Linked DNA regions of Pelodiscus sinensis. Each later gene encodes a partner of the first gene's protein in a complex. Links are inferred from orthologs where the notes say so. Each region holds a gene or a part of one and is shown in the gene's direction. Other genes may lie near its edges.

What was found.
Region 2: the proteins of TMPRSS15 (region 1) and cationic trypsin-3-like are in contact, whole or in part, in a cryo-EM structure (PDB 8ZIV), measured with the Homo sapiens proteins. The link is inferred for Pelodiscus sinensis from reciprocal best matches to the Homo sapiens genes TMPRSS15 and PRSS1. Residues at the interface, in NP_001414986.1 of Homo sapiens: Tyr276, Thr277, Ile279, Trp297, Glu298, Leu316, Glu318, Asp320, Glu321, Ile369, Gln370, Ser372, Phe374, Pro376, Phe377, Ala389, Gly399, Pro400, Gly401, Gly402, Arg403, Glu405, Glu432, Asn433, Lys485, Ile486, Leu487, Val513, Pro514, Thr515; in NP_002760.1 of Homo sapiens: Phe18, Asp19, Asp20, Asp22, Lys23, Ile24, Val25, Tyr45, His46, Phe47, Cys48, His63, Cys64, Tyr65, Lys66, Arg68, Ala91, Lys92, Arg95, His96, Arg101, Lys102, Leu104, Asn146, Tyr175, Phe188, Leu189, Glu190, Gly191, Gly192.

The regions. Positions count from the first base shown.
Region 1 is NC_134711.1:173,914,449-173,923,225, reverse strand, and holds the start of TMPRSS15 (enteropeptidase), read left to right. Parts: upstream 1-4,921; coding exon 4,922-5,070; intron 5,071-7,432; coding exon 7,433-7,544; intron 7,545-8,233; coding exon 8,234-8,301; intron 8,302-8,777. UniProt on the Homo sapiens protein: Responsible for initiating activation of pancreatic proteolytic proenzymes (trypsin, chymotrypsin and carboxypeptidase A).
Region 2 is NC_134711.1:136,339,469-136,348,712, reverse strand, and holds the start of cationic trypsin-3-like, read left to right. Parts: upstream 1-5,350; 5' UTR 5,351-5,469; coding exon 5,470-5,509; intron 5,510-6,717; coding exon 6,718-6,880; intron 6,881-8,444; coding exon 8,445-8,698; intron 8,699-9,244. UniProt on the Homo sapiens protein: Has activity against the synthetic substrates Boc-Phe-Ser-Arg-Mec, Boc-Leu-Thr-Arg-Mec, Boc-Gln-Ala-Arg-Mec and Boc-Val-Pro-Arg-Mec. The single-chain form is more active than the two-chain form against all of these substrates.

The DNA.
Region 1 (8,777 bases):
ATGTGGTGGTCAGGGAAGAAAATCTCGGCATGCAGCCTTTGGCACGTGGAGGAGTTTCGTGTCATGTGCTTTGCTGGACCAGCCCATGTTAATGTCCACAAAGAGGCCCTGGTGGTCAGACACAGCCTGCAGGATGATGGAGAAGTATCTCTTCCAGCTTATGTACAGGGAGGCCTGGTGGTCTGGGACACAGATGGGGATGTGCGTCCCGTCGATTGCCCCCCGTAGTTGGAGAAGCCCAGACCAACAAATCCCTTGATCACCACGTCCACATCAGTGAGGTGGATGACTCTGTGGAGCAGCACTCTGTTAATGGCCTTGACCACTTTCAGAGGGACACACAAAACCGAGTGTCACTGGGTTGCCAAGGTGACTGAGAGTGCCCCCTCCCCACCACTGCCCCGCTCCCTCACTCTTCAGGAGCAACCCCCTCTGCAATCCTGGCCACCACCCACAGTCCTTAGTGTGGGCGGGACAGAACAAACCCTCCCAGAGAGGGGACTTTCACCTCCTCCCCCCCCTTTTTCCTAGAGCAGCCCATCCCCTCCTTGCACCCCCCCTCCTGGCACGGTGGCCAGAGACTGCAATACCTGCATGAGCACTGCTCTGACGGTGGATCTCCCCATGCCAAACTGGTTTGCCACCGATTGGTAGCTATCTGGCATGGAGAGCTTCCAGAGGACGATGGCCACGTGCTTTTGGAGGGGAATGGCGGGCCTCATGTGTGTGTCCCGTCACTGCAGAGCAGGGGTGAGCCACTCACAGAGCTCCATGAAGGTGTCCTTCTTCATCCTGAAGTTCTGGGTCCATTGTTGATCTCCCCACCTCTCCAGGACGTTGTGGTCCCACCAGTCACTGCTGGTATCCAGACGCCAGAAGCGAGGGGCACACTAGCGTCCGGGAGCTGCAGCTGCTTCTCCACATACCCCAGGTGGGTCCGGATGATGGCGTGGGAGTTGGGCTGCAGCAGATGCTGTGAGGCAGCCTGCAGAAACTGCTGCCAGGCTTGCAGCAACACATCCAAAAGAAGACTTCACTGAGCCTTGAGCAATGTGGGAAGGACTCAGCTCCAGACCCCCTGGAAGGAGTAGGGACTTGGTCAGGCAGAGAGGGGCTGAGGCCAGTGTCTCCCAGCCAGCCCTCAGTGCCACCTGAACTGCAGCTTAAAGGGCCTGGGGCTCCAGACACTGATGGGTTGCCGCGATAGTGGCAGTGAAGGCCTGGAGCCCCAGGCCCTTTTAAATCACCAGGCCTGGGGAAGATGCCCTCTTATACTCATTCCCATTGATAGCCCTTGGCCAAGTGTGAGGAGAACAATTTGCATTAGAGAGACACTAATACAGAATAACATAGTCCTTTAGGTTACCAAAAACAAGGGAGGTGACTCATACTGTAGGTGGAGTTAAGAATCTTGTGGGGCTTTTTCCTTCCCACATGTGCTTGAGTTCTGTTTTAAAATGCTAGTTCCTTGGTGCATAAGCATGAGCAAAAATAAGCTTTTGGTCTGTTTCTAGATGTAGTTTTCCAGCTCTTTCCACAGCAGTCTGCACTACAAAATATACTTACATATCTGAAAACACCTGCCACAAGGAAGGTGAATCTCATTTCATCTTGTTAATGGAGGGCATTCCTGAAAATCTAACCAAATAATTTTCCCAGCGATGGATTAACAGATTGTCAGGCTTTGGGTGTGTTTGTCATAGAATGAGTATTAGAGGAATTATCTAAACACAGCATTTCCCCTCTTTCTGTGTCAGCACCCTTTTTGCCCTATGCAGTTGTATGATTAAAAAGGAAAATAAATACATGACAAGAGACTGTAAATTTTGCTTGGTCTACAGATGACACTGACATAATGTAAAGTGATGGTACTGTCAATCTTGTGGGACTGAATTCTAATATATTTCTTTGCAAATGGCCTGAACTAGAATTTGGCAAGTGAGAGTGAAACTGATAATGAAAAGCTGTCAGTCAAGCAATTCTTAGATATAATAACTCTAAGTCACTTTTTTAGAAAAAGTTGTCCTTTCCTCTCTGGTTTTGAATATGGAGATGGGCATAATATTTGCCCATATAACAATTAAATATTACACACTTTTAAATTACAATATTTTTAAAAATATTGTTTGTAACTCAAACTGGATGAAATTGTTCAGTTGAAATTGTTTTTTAATTAAAAGAACAGATTAAGATAAACTGAAACATATTGCTAATTTGTGTTGGTTTCACTTAATTATTTCTGTTACAAAGAGAAAAAAAGATTAGAAATGATGCAGTGCCACATTTTCAAAATAGAACATTTTGACTTTTGGAGTATCATTCAAAATACAAAGGAAGAAGAGGAAAATTCTGAAGAATTCTGGTTTCTAAACGACCATAGATGATTTTTCTGACATTACTAGTAAACAAAAATATCAGTAAACACACTGCTATACAATCAATGCCCATGCTGACCATACTAACATGCAGGTGAAACAGACTGGCTTCCATCAATACATTTGCCAGTGCTGGGCTGAGGCCTAAAGCCTTAGCAAATGCAGGCACCCCCTTTGCCAGTGTCACAATGAGATTGTGCTCATCCAACTTCTGTTAAAAGATTAATGTATGTGCTTGACTAAGCTCTCCCTGGGCTTTCTAACTTGGCTCTTTACTTGATTAAAATCATGCAGGAAATTTCATGGCGAGAAGAGCTGATGCTGTAACATTCACTATTCCATTGGCAGGCAAAAGGGTTTAATTCACTATTTTAATTGTGAACTTTCATGTTGAAAAATGTATGCTTGGAGGGATTTTTTTAAGTGCTTTTTCAGTAGTAATGTAATGGGAGAGTGTCGGCAAAAGCTTCTTAGTTGGGTGAATGTGAGTGGACAATGTACCAAGGAAGTTATTCATTGATATGATACCACTGCTAAGCAAACATTATATCAAAATATATCTGTCTGTTCCAAAGTCTTGAAGGTATTTAGTTAAAACTGAGAAAAAAAAGTATTGGTTATCTTATTATTATTATTTCTCAATTTGTCCTTATCACAATGTTTTATGTTACAAACAATATAGTAGTAGTCAGGGCTTGACAAGCAGTGATGAGCCCCACTCACCAGCCGCGCGGTTTGGCACGCTGCACATGCGCTGATCATGCTGCGGCGCCGTGCCGGGCTAAATTCTACTCACCACAGGTAAGTAGATTGCCCTAATTGTTGAGCCCTGGTAGTAGTAGTAGTAGTTGTAACAACAATAATAAGAACAACAACAACAACAATAATAATGCACTTTTATGAAACCTGACATTGCATTCATTATTGACTTAGTCTTGGAGATTGCGTATTCATTATTGCCACCATTACCTAGTTTTCAGAATAGAAAATAACATATTTAGGAAATTAGTTCCTTTATACTAATCATGATCAGAATTGAAGAGAGCACTTGCAAGTTTATGTCCTGGTCCAAACATAAGTAAATCTAAACATATACATAGCTTGACAAAATTAACTGAGCTGTAAATTATTATAGTCTCTGCTACTTCTCATATAATGAGGCCACTAGTTTACTGTGTAGGCATCAATCCAAAATTAATGATTCAAAAAAAGTCTTCAGGTGCTATTCTTTTTTCTTGTTCAAATGTGCAAAATGATAGTGGTGTGAATATTTATATGCCTAGTCCCCCATAACTCCTCCCTCAACATTCACTTAAACTTGATGCAGGCAGAACTCTTGACAACTTTGATGGAAGAGTTGTTAGATGACGAACAAAGAAAGTGCTCAGGTATTTTTTCCCACACAATACATTATACTTCTTGGCTAGATTTGCGCTAATACTTTGTTTTTTACACAGATTAAACCTCCCAAATCTGGAACTCTCTGGTCTGGCATGGATGTTGCTGGACCAAAGGGCCCCAGAGGCAGTCGGGAGAATGCAGGGCAGGGGAGCCCTGGCTGGGCCAGCTGTGGCTGGGCCAGGTGGCAGCTGGAACCCCCCAGCATCAGCAGGACCAGGAAGTGAATGGGAAGCCCTTTCCCAGCTCAGTACAAAGTATTTCTTTTTTAATTTGACCACTGATTAGAAACAAACATTAGATGCTCACACAACTTTTAGTAATTTAGTAATCTAGTTTTAAATGATCGTTGTACCCTTGCTATTTTAAAGGACTTCTTTAAGTTAATGTCCTAACAATATTAGTGTGGTTGTTAGATGCCTTCATGCACACTACAGAAGTACTTTTGAGCAATTTATATTAACCTAGACAATATTATCAGAAATATTTGTGTGCAACAAATTAATAAAAGGGTCCAGCAAAAAGAATATTTAGAATAAACATAAAAAAATTGAAACGCTTAAAACTCATGAGACAATGAGTATCTGCAATGAGGTGCTAAACACACTTCACTCGTATTCATTTCAGGAGAAGTTAGGGAAACTCAACCAGAAACAGGATTGGGCCCTTCAAGCAACTGCCACTGCTCAGAGCAACCTGCTACTTTGGTTTTTTTTCTTACTGATGCAATGGTAAGTTCAGTTTTATTTCTAGGTAATTATTCCCTAAAATAGTAAATTATGCTGCAATAAACTTAATTTTTAACTTTTTTTTTTTTTCAAATAAAAATTGGCATATGGCAGGTGATTGTACAAAGCTGTTGATTAACATTTACAACTTTGGGTATTTGTTTGCATATGTATTTTTTATCTCAGCTATTATCATCTTCCATGATGAGTCTCTTGCGTTCTGTTTATACCAGCATAAACTGCACATTGATGTAACCATTCAGGAATGATATCAAAACTACATCATACTGACTGACCGTAAATGAAGATTAATGGTGCAATTAATTTACAAATTTTTCCTATAAATATCTGTTCACATAGATCGCTGCTCTCTATGTTTCTTGTGACAATTCTTAATTGATATAAACTTCCTAACTGGGAATGAATCTGAAAAAATCATTATCTAAGAGAGGTATCCCTCTTAATGACTTTGAAATCTGGCTTGCTGCTCTGCTTGCAATTTTTGTGTGTGTTTGTGCTGGATTAATTACACTTTCATGGCTACTAATCAAGGAGTCACAACAAGGTAAGTAGTCAAGATCTAACCTTTAAAGGAGCTCCCTGGTAATTGTTCAGACTTAGAAGCCAACTGTTGCCACTGTAATTATGTTTTACTTTTTATGCTTTGCTGTTACCACTGCTGCTTTAAAAAGATGCATTACTATTTTTCCCACTGACAATCAGAACAAATGAGATACATAAAAACTGAAGCATTTCAAGCCTGATCCAAAGTTCACTGAGGTTGATGAAACGACTCTTATTGACTTCAGTGCGATTTGGGTCAGGACCCTGGACTTTAAATAGTAAAGATAATGATATTTGATCAGATCTGTCAAGAGAAAAATTAAAAGCTATGCTGCTTGTTTTATGTTTGTTTTTCAATTAAAGTAAGCTGCATTATTTTTGTAAATGTCCTTACTTGGAATACTGTGTCACAAGCTTCTGGTTTGATCCTGTGTAGTAGTGAGCATCCATTGACTTCCATGTATCTTGCAAGCGCTTGCCACCTCTTGGGATCATATTTTTTCGGAGACATATAATAGTAGTCATTTATGTGATCATTTTGATTTCCAGGGCCATCCTTCATGGTGCCTTTATTGCCCAACACTGGGGATAGTCAGATGTGAAGACACTCAACTGGTAGTAGGAGTACTCAGCATTTCGCATAGTCAAGTCCTTAATAGTCAAAGTAGATTACAGTCACCATCAGTGCTAGTTTATTTTAATAAGTTTTCCATAGGGAAATGTAGTTTCACTGAAATAACAAAATGTCACAGAGATTTCAATGAGTTTTCTAAGAGAAAATATAGAAATAAATCAAGTTAATGTTTGTGTTTCTTTTTAAAATACTTTTTTGCAAAATCTTTATAAGGGGCATATGGCCATGAACATTTTTTGGTACTACAGGTTGGACCTCACTGGTCCAGCATCCTTGGGACATGTCTTGTCCTGAATGAGGGGATTTGCTGGACCAGGGAAGGTCCCACCCTTGTATCCAGGCTGCTATTGGGCTAGAGCTCCAGCCTGTCCCTGCTGCTCCCCAGGTTTTCCCTGGCCCTAATGCTGCTGGGACAGGAGCGCCATGGCCAGAGGTGCGCAGCTGAAGCAGAGCTCCCTAGCTGCCACTGTGATCAGAGCTCTCTGGCTGGGGCTACGGTCCATGGTCACATCCAGGCTAGAGCCCCGAGCTGCTGGGGCCAGGGAGCTCTGCTGTGGCCAGAACTCTCCACCATACCGTCCATCCACCCTTTCCCTGCACCACTCTGGGCTCCCGGCTGAGTCACTGGTGCCCCTTATGGTGCTCTTGCCTCTCCGCCAGACCTCCCTCTTGCCAGACCATGAATGTTGCCAGACCAGGGAGTCCCAGTTAAAGGGGGGTACAACCTGCACCAGATTGCATTGCAGATGAGATAGGTGGGGAAACATCTAGTCTGAAGATCCTGCTAGGACTTACATGTCAGATAAGCATCTGTGTGCATGCTCACCAGCAGATTTTTAGGCACTTAAACAGTTAAAATTTAGCTGCTCTAGAGACTTTAGATGCCTAAACAGTTAGGCAGCAGCTAGACAGAAGGCTTGACCACCTCAGTGGTACCTAAACGTTGGACTTGGGGGGTATAGTGCCAGTGAGGTGTCTATCTCCTTTTCTGGATCTAGCCCTTGTTACCTACTTTCATATAATTTTCTTCATAGATTATAAGACCACAAAGGACCACTACGATCTTCTAATCTGATATTCATCATACCACAGGCCATAGGATTTTCACTGAATTAGTTCCTGTTTGAACTTTTTTGAAGCTCACCCACACAAGCATATACATTCTGGTAGAAAAGACTGTATAATAATTACTTCAGTGAAAGCAGTATTTTCAAAGATGCCTCTCAAAAGGTTGTGTGTTCCTTTAGAAATTCACAGAGCTTTTAATTGTAGAAAGGCAACAGTGTGAGGTCTTGATGCTTATAGTCCAAGAACTGACAAACTTTTAACAGATTATTGCCCACCATGCTTCACTAGTATCTGTCAGTTGCTCTAACTGGAGGAAGCTGACCAGTCATTGCCTCTTTCAGCAGGTAATATAGTGGTTCTGGAAAGCTCTGAACTGAAGATATAATTGAAAGTAATAGGATGATGGGGAAAAAAAGTATGGATTTAAACATGATAGCATTGTGAAATTGTGTCTTTAAGCAGCTGAAAAGAATCTGACTTTCTTTTGAAACTAGGGCAATGCAAAGAAAAGTTCTGAATTGAAAGTGAAAGGAGAGTAGCAATTTTTGTATTATGTCCTTTACTGGGAAAGTCAAATGCAAACTGTTGCTTACATTACTGCATAAATCAATATTTCCGCTCTTTTGTTTTTCTTTAACTATTCCAACTGAAGTAAATGAAAACAGTCATGCAGCCACAGGAACATTTAAAATACTGTCAGGAGCATCATTCAGCCCTAGTTTGGAAGACAACTCATCAGCTGACTTCAAGGCCCTTGCCTTCGATATTCAGCAATTGGTAAGAGTCTATACATGTATGGTTAATACAAGAGGCTATAACAGATACATCATTAACTGTATTAATTTCCAAAATTCACCCAATATCAGTTATAACAGGTTGGGAATTTCCTGCAGATTCATCAAATCCAAGCCGGTTCCATCAGAAATTGGCCAGGGAATACAGCTGGCCAAGAACACTGGGATCCCTTGGTCCCTCTCCTCAATGCCAATTGGCATGATTCTTGTCCATTTAACCACTGCTACTTGAATAGTAGCAGTGAAACTGACAAAACATCACATTCAGTCACTTCTAGCAACATATTTCATTTTGACACAAAAACCGCCTATGGTTGCATTGGACCCCCAATGTGCAGGGAGTTCAGAAAAAAAAACCTTGGTTTTGTTCTCAATCAGAATTAAACCAAATTTCAAAATATCAATATTTCCCACAAACTGGAAATCCCAAACTTTGGCCATCTCTGTGATTGGTGCCTTTTTTTCCCTTTCATCTGTGACAGAGGTTATTGTTTCTGAGTTCAATCAAAACTCAAAATATTTACATGCATATTGGCCAAGTATCATAGAAACCTGTGGACTTCCCAAGCCTAGATCTCAGGGGGAAAGCAGTGTTGAAATCACAACTGTTAGGTGCAATTGTGTATATTTCCAACCACTGTTCAGAATTTTTTTATATATATTTTTCTACAGATAACTGAAATCTATCAAGCAAGTCAGCTGAAGAATGAATATAAGAACTCTGAAGTTTTGCTGTTCAAGTGGGTATATACTGTAGTTCATAATTTTAAAATTTTAAAATCCTCATTAGATTATGAATATCAACAATGATTCTGTCTCTCAAGTGGTCTATTGGGACCCTCCATCTCTCTCCTTCCCTTTGATGAACACTACTGCAGAAAGCACAGTATAGTTATGTCCCTCTGGATACAGCTGCTTCTCAGAACCAATTAAAGCTATGCCAAGCCTGGGCCATATGTTCCTGGATCACAGAGCACAGGAAGAGGGACAACTGGTGGAGGGGTAGGAGTGCCATAAGGGGCCCTGGGACTCAGCCAGGAGCCCAGAGTGGGGGAAGAAAGAGGAGGATGGACAGCATAGCGGGAAGTTCTGGCCCCAGCAGAGCTCCCTGGCCTCAATCAATATACAGTGCTTCTCTTCTAAGGCCAGAAAATGTCTAAATGTGAATGAAAAATAATTTTACAAATATGAAACAATTTTGAAGAAAAATTGTCTT
Region 2 (9,244 bases), about 38 Mb from region 1:
TAGTGACTGGAAACTTGGAAGCATTGTAGTCCTTCTCATAAGTAGCATTCGATCCATATACACTTAGGGCTATTAACCTTGGACCTTCTGTCTTGAGTTGTTTGTACCAGTACATATAGGTGTAGCTAGTGTCATTTTGGACACAGGTTATTTCCATCCTTTCTCCATGTCTCTGGGTTGCTGTTCTTGGGAACTGAGAGATGAGGACTCCCAGCCCAGAGCCTATGTGAGAGAAGCAATTAAAAAAAAACAAATTAAAGGTGTATACAGTCTTTTAAGTTACATTCTAAATGTCTCTCCCCTCCCTCCTCCCACCAGTGTAGGATTGCTCCTTGCTGGCTTGTGCATATCTCTAGAGAAGTTGTGCTCTGCCTGTGCACCAGCTTGGGGTGGGATTTCTAGGTTCTTACCAGGCACTAGAAGCAGCAGGAATCTCAACATTTTTGCTAGTGAATTTTATTCTTCTCTCTGGTTTATCTCTTGGTTTTTGTGAAGGTGACAGGAAGTGATGAATTGACTGAGCATCTTCTCCCTTCTATGATTTCTCCAATGAAAACCTGGGGAGGGGACGAATTGAAATGATGTATAAATGTTGCTTCAGATGATATGCAAAACGGTTTCCTGAGCACTCAGGTCATAAATATTTCTTCAGCACTTTATACGAGAGATCCAGATGTGCTCTTGGGCAAACCCTAACTCATGTTACTGCTTTCTACCCCCAGCAATGTAGATGAAGTTATTCTTTCCTTCCATTCCTGATTGACTGAGCCATGCACTGAGTGATTGAAATAATATTAGTGTAGAACCACAGCTATCTTATATTTTTGTTTTCCAGAATTTTCTCCTCACAATCTGTGGACTGTTTGGAAATGCAGAGATACCATCTGCGTTTTGATTGACTTTGTTTTAAAAGCTACACCCAGTTATTTAGTAAATTAGTTTTCAATTCATTAGTAGTTTTTTAAATATTAATTCCTTGTCACTCAGGCTTTTCTTTGAGTACATTTGAATAAATATTCCCTTCCCATTGAGAGATCTTTCTTTACTTTCCTTGAGAGCTTCCTTCCTGGATCTATAGCTTCCCTTTCTTTCCAGCTCCCCTCCCTGTAGAAATCATCTTCCTTCACCTGCCTACCCACAATGCTGTGCAGATCCAAATCCCATGTGTAACTGCATTTTGGAGATCACTGGATGAACAATTGACTGTCAGCTGTGGAGTTCTCAAAGCTGGGAGACTATATAGGATTTTCAGTGTTTATTAGGCTCTGTCATTGCCTGATATTGATCTTCTAGTTGAGCAAGATTTTCTGAGTTCTCTCAGGAGGAAGTAATGTATTAGAGAGATGTGGAAGTTTTTAATAATTTCTGCATTTCAGAATCTCTGCATGGAATCTTCTGAATTCTGTCAGGAGGAAGTGTACTAGAGAGATGTGGGAGTTTTTCATAATCACATTTCCTAAATTTTTGCCTCTAAGCATGAGCATGACTACCTTACTTTGGGCACTTCATAGCATGGCATGCTCCTTGACAACACAGAAGTAGCTAGCTGAATCCAGGGTTCTGAGAAGATCATGCAGGGCCCAGTCCAGTAGTTGTGCTCAGGGGCTATCTAACTCCTCACAAAAAATCCAAACTAGCTAGCATTACTGATCTTTAAACCTGTATTGCAGTGGTTAGCGCATTTGTCTGGGATGTGGGCATCCCATGTTCAATTCCCTCCTCTCTGGCAGAAGGAAATAAACATGGGTATCCAAACTCTCAGTTGTTCGCTCTGACCCAGTGGTGGGAAATGAGCTGGAGGAGGTTCACCAGCTGGCCGCCAGTGATTTATTTACTTGCATGTCCATGAGTATGGCTGTGTCGACATGGGGATGTCAGTGGATGTGATATACCTTGACTTTGGCAAAGCTTTTGATACGGTCTCCCATTGAATTCTTGCCAGCATGTAAGATACATTTATGGAGTGGATAAATGGTCTGTGAGGTGGATTGAAAGCTGGCTAGTTTGTTAAGCTCTGCTAGTAGGAATCAATGGCTCAATGTCAGGTTGGTGGTCAGTTTCAAGTGGAATGTACTGAAGGTCAGTTCTGGTGATGGTTTTGTTCAACATCTTTATTAATGACCTGGATAAGGGGTTGGATTTCACCCTTAGCAAGTTTGTGGATAATGCCAAGCTGGGGGTGAGGTCGATATGTTGGGGGGCAGAGACAGGGTCCAGAGTGACCTAGACAAAATGAAGGATTGGGCCAAATGAAGTCTGATGAGGTTCAACAAGAACACGTTCCCTCAGCACCCTTGGATGCATTAGATCCACCTCCATGGATTTGTGTACATCAAGCTTTTCTAAATAGCTGTTTATACCTATTCTTTGTTCACTGATGGCTGCCTCCTTCCCACCCTGTGCTGCCTAGCCCAGAGTCTGGGAGCTGATCTTGTCTGTGAAGACAGAGGCAAAAAAAGCATTGAGTACTTCAGCTTTTCCCACATCATCTGTCACTAAGTTATCTCTCCCATCCAGTAAGGGCCCCACACCCTCTCTGATCACCCTCTTATTGCTAACATGCCTGTAGAAACTTTTCTTTTTATCTTTCACATCCCTTGCTAGCTACAATTCCAAGTGTGCTTTGGCCTTCCTGATTACACCCCTGCATGCTTGAACAATATATATACTCCTCCCTGGTCATCTGTCCAAGTTTCCACTTGTAATCTTCCTTTTTGTGTTTAAGCTCACCAAGGATTTCACTGCTAACCCAACTTGGTCACCTGCCATATTTGCCTTTCTTACTGCACATTGGGATGGTTTGTTCCTGCACCTTCAATAAAGCTTCTCTAAAATACTGCCAGCTCTCCTGGACTCTTCCCCCCTCCTGTTAGTATCACATTCTAAATGCCCTCCCACTCCAGCCCCAGCCAGTGTAGGATTGCTCCCTATAGCATTGTCTCCATGGGGTTATCCTGAGCCAATAACCACCTGGGGATTATCCTGAGCCAACAACCACCTGCTATCATCCCATGGTAGTTAGATACTAACTCAGGAGAGTTGACAGCTGCATCAACAAACACTTTCATCTCTGGGTGGCCAATGTCCTTGCACAAATCAGCTCTCCTCTCAGGCAGGGATGTTGGTTTGTTATTATAATGTTCTAAATTCATTTAAGCACATGATGAGAGTCAAGTAACACACTAACAAAGATTTTTAAAAATGGTCACAAAGTTAAACCTCCCAAATCCATACTTATGCACTTAGATTAGTGAACTGTTTTCAAAAGTGCAGCAGCTCCTATTGATATCAATGGGACTACTCACAAAAAAAGTTATTAAGGTAGTAACACTGGGCCCTAAGCAATATGTTTCAAGAATACACTGCAACAGGGAGTTTTACAAGCTAATTATTTAAAACTAACTTTTATCAATTTAAAAGGAAATACCTTTAGTTTCCCTTCTAGCTATATGGTAGACCTGATGACCCTTCCCTACTCCTTTTTAATTTATCACTAGCGGATCTCTGCCTCATGGCTGCAGTGCAACAGTCTCAGAGGTGGCAGAGATGTGAGGATGTGGCGGCAAGGTGAGGCAGGCACGTGGGCAGCATGGGGGAGGGGAGGGTGTGGGAAGACTCAGGGGACACTGGCTTGGGGGGCTGAAGGAGGAACAGGCGGAGCATGGCGTGAAGGGACTCCTGCAGCACCTCCCACTTCTCTTTGTCCCAGGGCCTGATGTGTGCGCAGAGAAGTCATTTTGCCACGGCAGCAGCTGCTCAATGGTCTGTGAGGCATTCCCTCCTCCCCGCCATACTCTGATGCCCACACTGCCCCCACTTGCTAGACAGGCTGCCCCTGGGATGCCTCCTCAGCAAGTGGTTGGCAGGTGCGGCAGGGACCTTGTGGGGGCAGTGGTATCATTCAGACCTGTGCCTGCTAGGGTAGGCGGCTCACGGGGCAGGGTCCTGCACCCTGGGGGTGACCTGTCCTACAGGTGGAGGGGCGGGAGCAGCAGAGGTTGGCGGGGGGCAGCACCTGCAGCACAATGACTTCTCCGAGTGGCATATTGGGCCCAGGGACATATAGAAGTGGGAGATGCTGTGAGTGGTGGCACTGGAAGTAAGTCCCTGCCCGCCCTGCTCTGCTCATCCCTACCTCGGCTCCCCAAGCTGGTGCCCCCGCAGGTCTTCCTGTGCCCACCCCACCTATCCACCACATCCTCACATCCTGCTCTGTTGTGGGGGGTGGGAGAGGAGCAAATGGTAGCCACCAGCCCAGCTTATCATATTGTACCTTTCCAGTGTATTCTCAAATGTTCTCTATAACAGACAGTGTGATGGACACTTTTATACTTTTTATAATAGTATATATATTATTATTGGGAGTTCCATATTTTATTGGAATATTGATTTTCTATAGAACATTCCCCCAAAAATTTAAAAATCCAAGCTGAGACACAGTTCTTGGCTGGATTAATAAATCCAGGAAAATCCGTAAGTGGACAGTTGTCTCCCACATGAAATTATGAAAGCTCCATAATTTGGTTCATTTACCACTAGAAGTGGGAAAATAACAACAACCACAGGGATAGTAAATTAGAGCTGCACACCCCTCAGGAATGGAGATTATTCCTAACAGAAAAACTCACAATTCTGCTCAAACTGTTACATCTCTTTCAAATGTTCACAGTTAAACATTCACTTAATACAGAATTAAAACTTTACTATGTAGAAGAAAAATGCTGCTTTTAACCATCTTAATTTAGATGAATCAAATACAAAGTTACTTTATCCCATCCTCTTATTAAAGCTTTGCCTTTATTTTAGTTGTTTACATTTAACGCAGTCCTATATAATATTTTCTTTTTTTTTTTAGTCTCTGCCACCTAATTGTGCACTTCCAGTTCCAAATAAGGTGTGTGGTTGACCAGCCAGTTTGTAACTCTGGTGTTCATAACTCTGATGTTCTAATGGATACAAATAAATCTGTATTGGCCAGGATAACTACATGGTCAAGAGACAACCTAATAATAGATCATCTCCAATTCCAATTTATAGGACCTTAAACCCTACATAGAGAACTCTTAACTTCTGGAAAGAAAAGGCACATTCCAGAAAGGCATGATTACTGACAGATGACTCTCAAAAGGCTTTGAGGTTTGTTGTGCACTAACAAAACCTGGAATAAAATCAAAGAAAAACTGACCTAAGTTCTCATTTCATTTTTAAACTGAAAGCTATCTCCTGTAATCATTTAAAAAATACCTCTGCAAATGAGGAAAAGTTCATCATTAACTCTGGAGTTTGGGGAGATGTGGGATTTTTTCTACCTGTGCCTGATAAACACCTAAATGTATACTTTCAAACTTTCCATTGTGTACTTTCCTTTGGTGAAATCCTTGGGCTGGAGATAAGGCCCATTCAGGAGGATAAAACCCCAGAAATTATATCTTCTAGTCTACAAAGCTGTATTAAATCCATAGGAAGACCATGAAATACATCCTGGTAGTAGCTTTTCTGGGAGCAGCTGGTAAGTTCATTTTTACTGTTTGTTACAGTGAAGTTTATATGAGCCAGGTTGTATACTACTGGCTACGTCTATATTGGTGCGTTCTCACACAAAAACTCTTTTGAGGAAGAGTTCTTCTGCAAAAACTCTTCCAGAAGAGAGCATCTACATTGGCATGTACTTTTGCACAAGAGCATCCATGCCAGTGTAGACGCTCTCTTGTGCAAGAAATCTTTGATGGCCATTTTAATCATAGGCCTTTCTTGCTCAAGAAATTCATGTTGCCTGTCTACATTGGCCTCTTGCGCAAGAACAGTTGTGCAAAAGGGCTTATTCCTGAGTGGGAGCATCAGAGTTCTGGCGCAAGAAGCCCTAATTTCATACATTAGAACGTCAGTTTACTTGCGCAAGATCACGTGGCCAGTGTAGACAGGCAGCAAGTTTTTGAGCAAGGGTGTCCACTTTTGCATGAGATCGTGCCAGTGTAGATACAGCCCTGGAGAGTGAAGCCCTTTTTTATCCCCAAAATTGTCAAGACTGTCAGCCACAGGCTAATTATCACAGAGTTTGAAGGCTACGTCTACACTGGCAGCTTCTTGCACAAGAACTGTTTTGTGGAAGAGTTCTTGCGCAAAAAGTCTTCCACAAGAGCGTGTCTTCACTGACATGTGCTTTTGCACAAGAGCATCCATGGCTATGTGGATGCTCTCTTGAGCAAGAAAGCTCTGGTGGCCATGTTAGCCATAGGGGTTTCTTGCGCAAGAAATTAATGTTTCCTGTCTACACTGCCCTCTTGCGCAAGAGCTCTTGTGCAAGAGGGCTTATTGCTCGTGGGGAGAAGAATAACTCTTCTGGAAGAAGCCCTGTTTTCCGATGCTATACTGTAAATTTACTTGTGCAAGAATGTTTGTGCAGTGTAGACACCCGGCAAGTTTTTGCGCAAGAACAGCTGTTTTTGCTCAAGAAGCCACCAGTGTAGACGTAGCCTGATTGTAATATGGACAAATAGGCACTAGAAGCTGGGTTAAGTGAGCCCCAGAGCTGGATTTCATAAAACAACCAACAAAGAGCCACCAGCTGTGGAGACCTTTTGACCACCATCAGCTCAGGCTTGGCTCCCAGTTTCCTACAAGTGAGCGGCTTTGTATCCTAATTGTCTGTCCTTTCATTCAGGTTGGCTCCATGGTCCTCATCATGCATATTAATTACTATCTTCCTTTTTCACGCAGTTGCCTTTCCCCTTGATGATGATGATGACAAGATAGTGGGAGGCTACACCTGTTCAAAGAACTCGTTGCCCTACCAGGTGTCCCTGAATGCTGGATACCATTTCTGTGGAGGTGCCCTCATTAACAGCAGATGGGTTGTCTCAGCTGCTCACTGCTACAAATCGTGAGTAGAAAATATTTGTGCCGTTAAATTACTGCTTCCCCTCTGGCCCTATCACCCTTGTAGTGTCAGATCTGGTTAACTAAGCAAGGGTCAGTCCACCTCAGGTGGGAGATTGTCAAAGAATGCTCCAGTCCTTCAAGCAATGGAGTTGGTATTTCAGGAGAGGCTCTGGTTTCTGTGTCAGTACTGACTGCAGTGCACCAGCAGCCTGGCATTAGAAGAGGGTGCTGTGCTGCATGAGGTGACGATTCAGTATTGGGTGACATTTTTTCTGAATTAGAACTGAATCAAATGCCCTAGCATGAGTCATCTGTCCTGGTGACCGTCAGTGGGTATGTCTACACTTTGAGCTGGAGGCATGATACCCAGCTCAGAGACACACACACTGAAAATAGAATGTCACTGTGGTGATGCAAATGATGGGAAGGGCTTGCCAGCTCAAGCACTTTCCCACCCAACCCTATAGGCACATACTCATGGCTGCTAATCCCTCTTGCCACTGTGATTTTTAGCATGCTTGATTAATTAAAGCTAGCACAGAAATGTCTCCCTGAGCTTGGAATTGCCCTTCCAGCTTCTAGTGTAGGCATGTCCTATAATGGTCTAGTAATTTCTGGAAGTCTCTTGATTGCTTTAAGGGAGTTAATTGGCTTTGTGGGAGTTCAATCGTGAACTAAAATTGCAGAAAGCAGAATGATGGACTAACAAAGAATGATTGAAGAGTGAACAGAATGGGCCTCTCTCCACCATCAAACAATCAAAGCACTTTGCCAGGTGACAGTGCAGTGGTCATGCAGGGATTATGTGTCACCTTTTCTGAAAACTCACCTACCGTCTTGTTAGAGTATCTTTCGTTCACTGGGAAATATGGGAACAGGGATTTGATGAGGACACCAGGGTTTTCCTAAACTATTGCTGTAAATCACCTAGAGATGGTTGATTGGTACCGTGCCAGGTTGTCAGACATCTCCATTGTGGCGTAGCTCCTCAAATAGTTCAGTACCCACTGCTTCTTCAGTGCTGCCTTGTAGGGCCATCATTGGGAACCCATTGAAGAGGAGTAAGTAGGCATCCTCAGTGTACTGTATCCTTCAAAGTATAACCTTCTCATCACATGGGTACCTCTTCCCCCAGGAAGAACATTACATTTCAATTCTACAGCACCACCACCTGAGGAACTCAGAGCCTTTGAGTTAAGCCTCAGAACTCCCTTGTGAGTTAGGAATTACTACCCCCTTGTTAGAACTAAAAGTAAAGCGTGGGGAGAGATGTGTAGACATGGTAAAAAAATTACAAATGTTGATAATTTTCAAAGAAAATTCAGTGCTCCAGGACTGCCCTGCACAGTTGGATTGCAGATGAGTCCAAATCCTGGCATGTGAACTCCAAACCAGAGAGCTTTCCACTGAATGGAGCAACTGAGACTTAGTGCTGGTGTTGATGACAGCTGTAGTGGTGGCAATAGCCACAGTGATGGCGTAGGTTGTTGTGGTGATGATGATGATGATGGATAATGATGGTGACAGTGCTGGTAAGGATGCTGTTATTCCTTCCTCCTTTCCAGCTCTATACAAGTGAGGCTTGGAGAACACAACATAGAAGTCAGAGAAGGCACCGAACAGTTCATTAACTCAGTCAAAGTCATCCGTCACGAGAAGTACAACTCCCGGCTCCTGGACAATGACATCATGCTCATCAAGCTGGCCAGTGAAGCCACCCTCAACTCCTACGTCAACACAATTGCCCTGCCAACCGGCTGTGTGGCCACTGGCACCCCGTGCCTGATCTCTGGCTGGGGCAACACTCTCAGCAGTGGCAGTGAGTGCTCTGTGGGAGTGTAGAGCTTCTCGGGGATCCTGGAGACCTTTATTGGCCTGGTAATAGGCCCCATAGAGGAGAATATGGGGAGGGGCGAGCACCTGTGGGGGAGGCAGTTTGAAGAGAGAATCCATCTGGGATGTCATGGCTCAAAGGGAAGAGCCTGTGGGAGCAGGCAACCTTTATCTAATTTAAATATGCTCTCTTCTAATATCCTTGATTGACTCTTGTTATCATTGGCATGGAGCTGGCTGAATCACTAAATATGTTCCTCTGTGAGTTCCAGGAAGAAACCCTCTATCACCCTTACTTGGGACATTCTGTGGGGCAGATCCTGACAGGTGCTGAGGAACCCACAGCCCCCCTGAGACCAATGCCCTCAAAGGCTTCCCCACAGCTCTCAAGATGGAGTTCAATATTTTGATTGCACATTCAAGATTATTACGTTATAACTACATTTTTACAATATAACTCTTGCCCTAGCCCAGGCATCAGAAAGCGAGATAGACAGAATGAGCCAAATCCACTTGGGGTCTGGCTACTGAT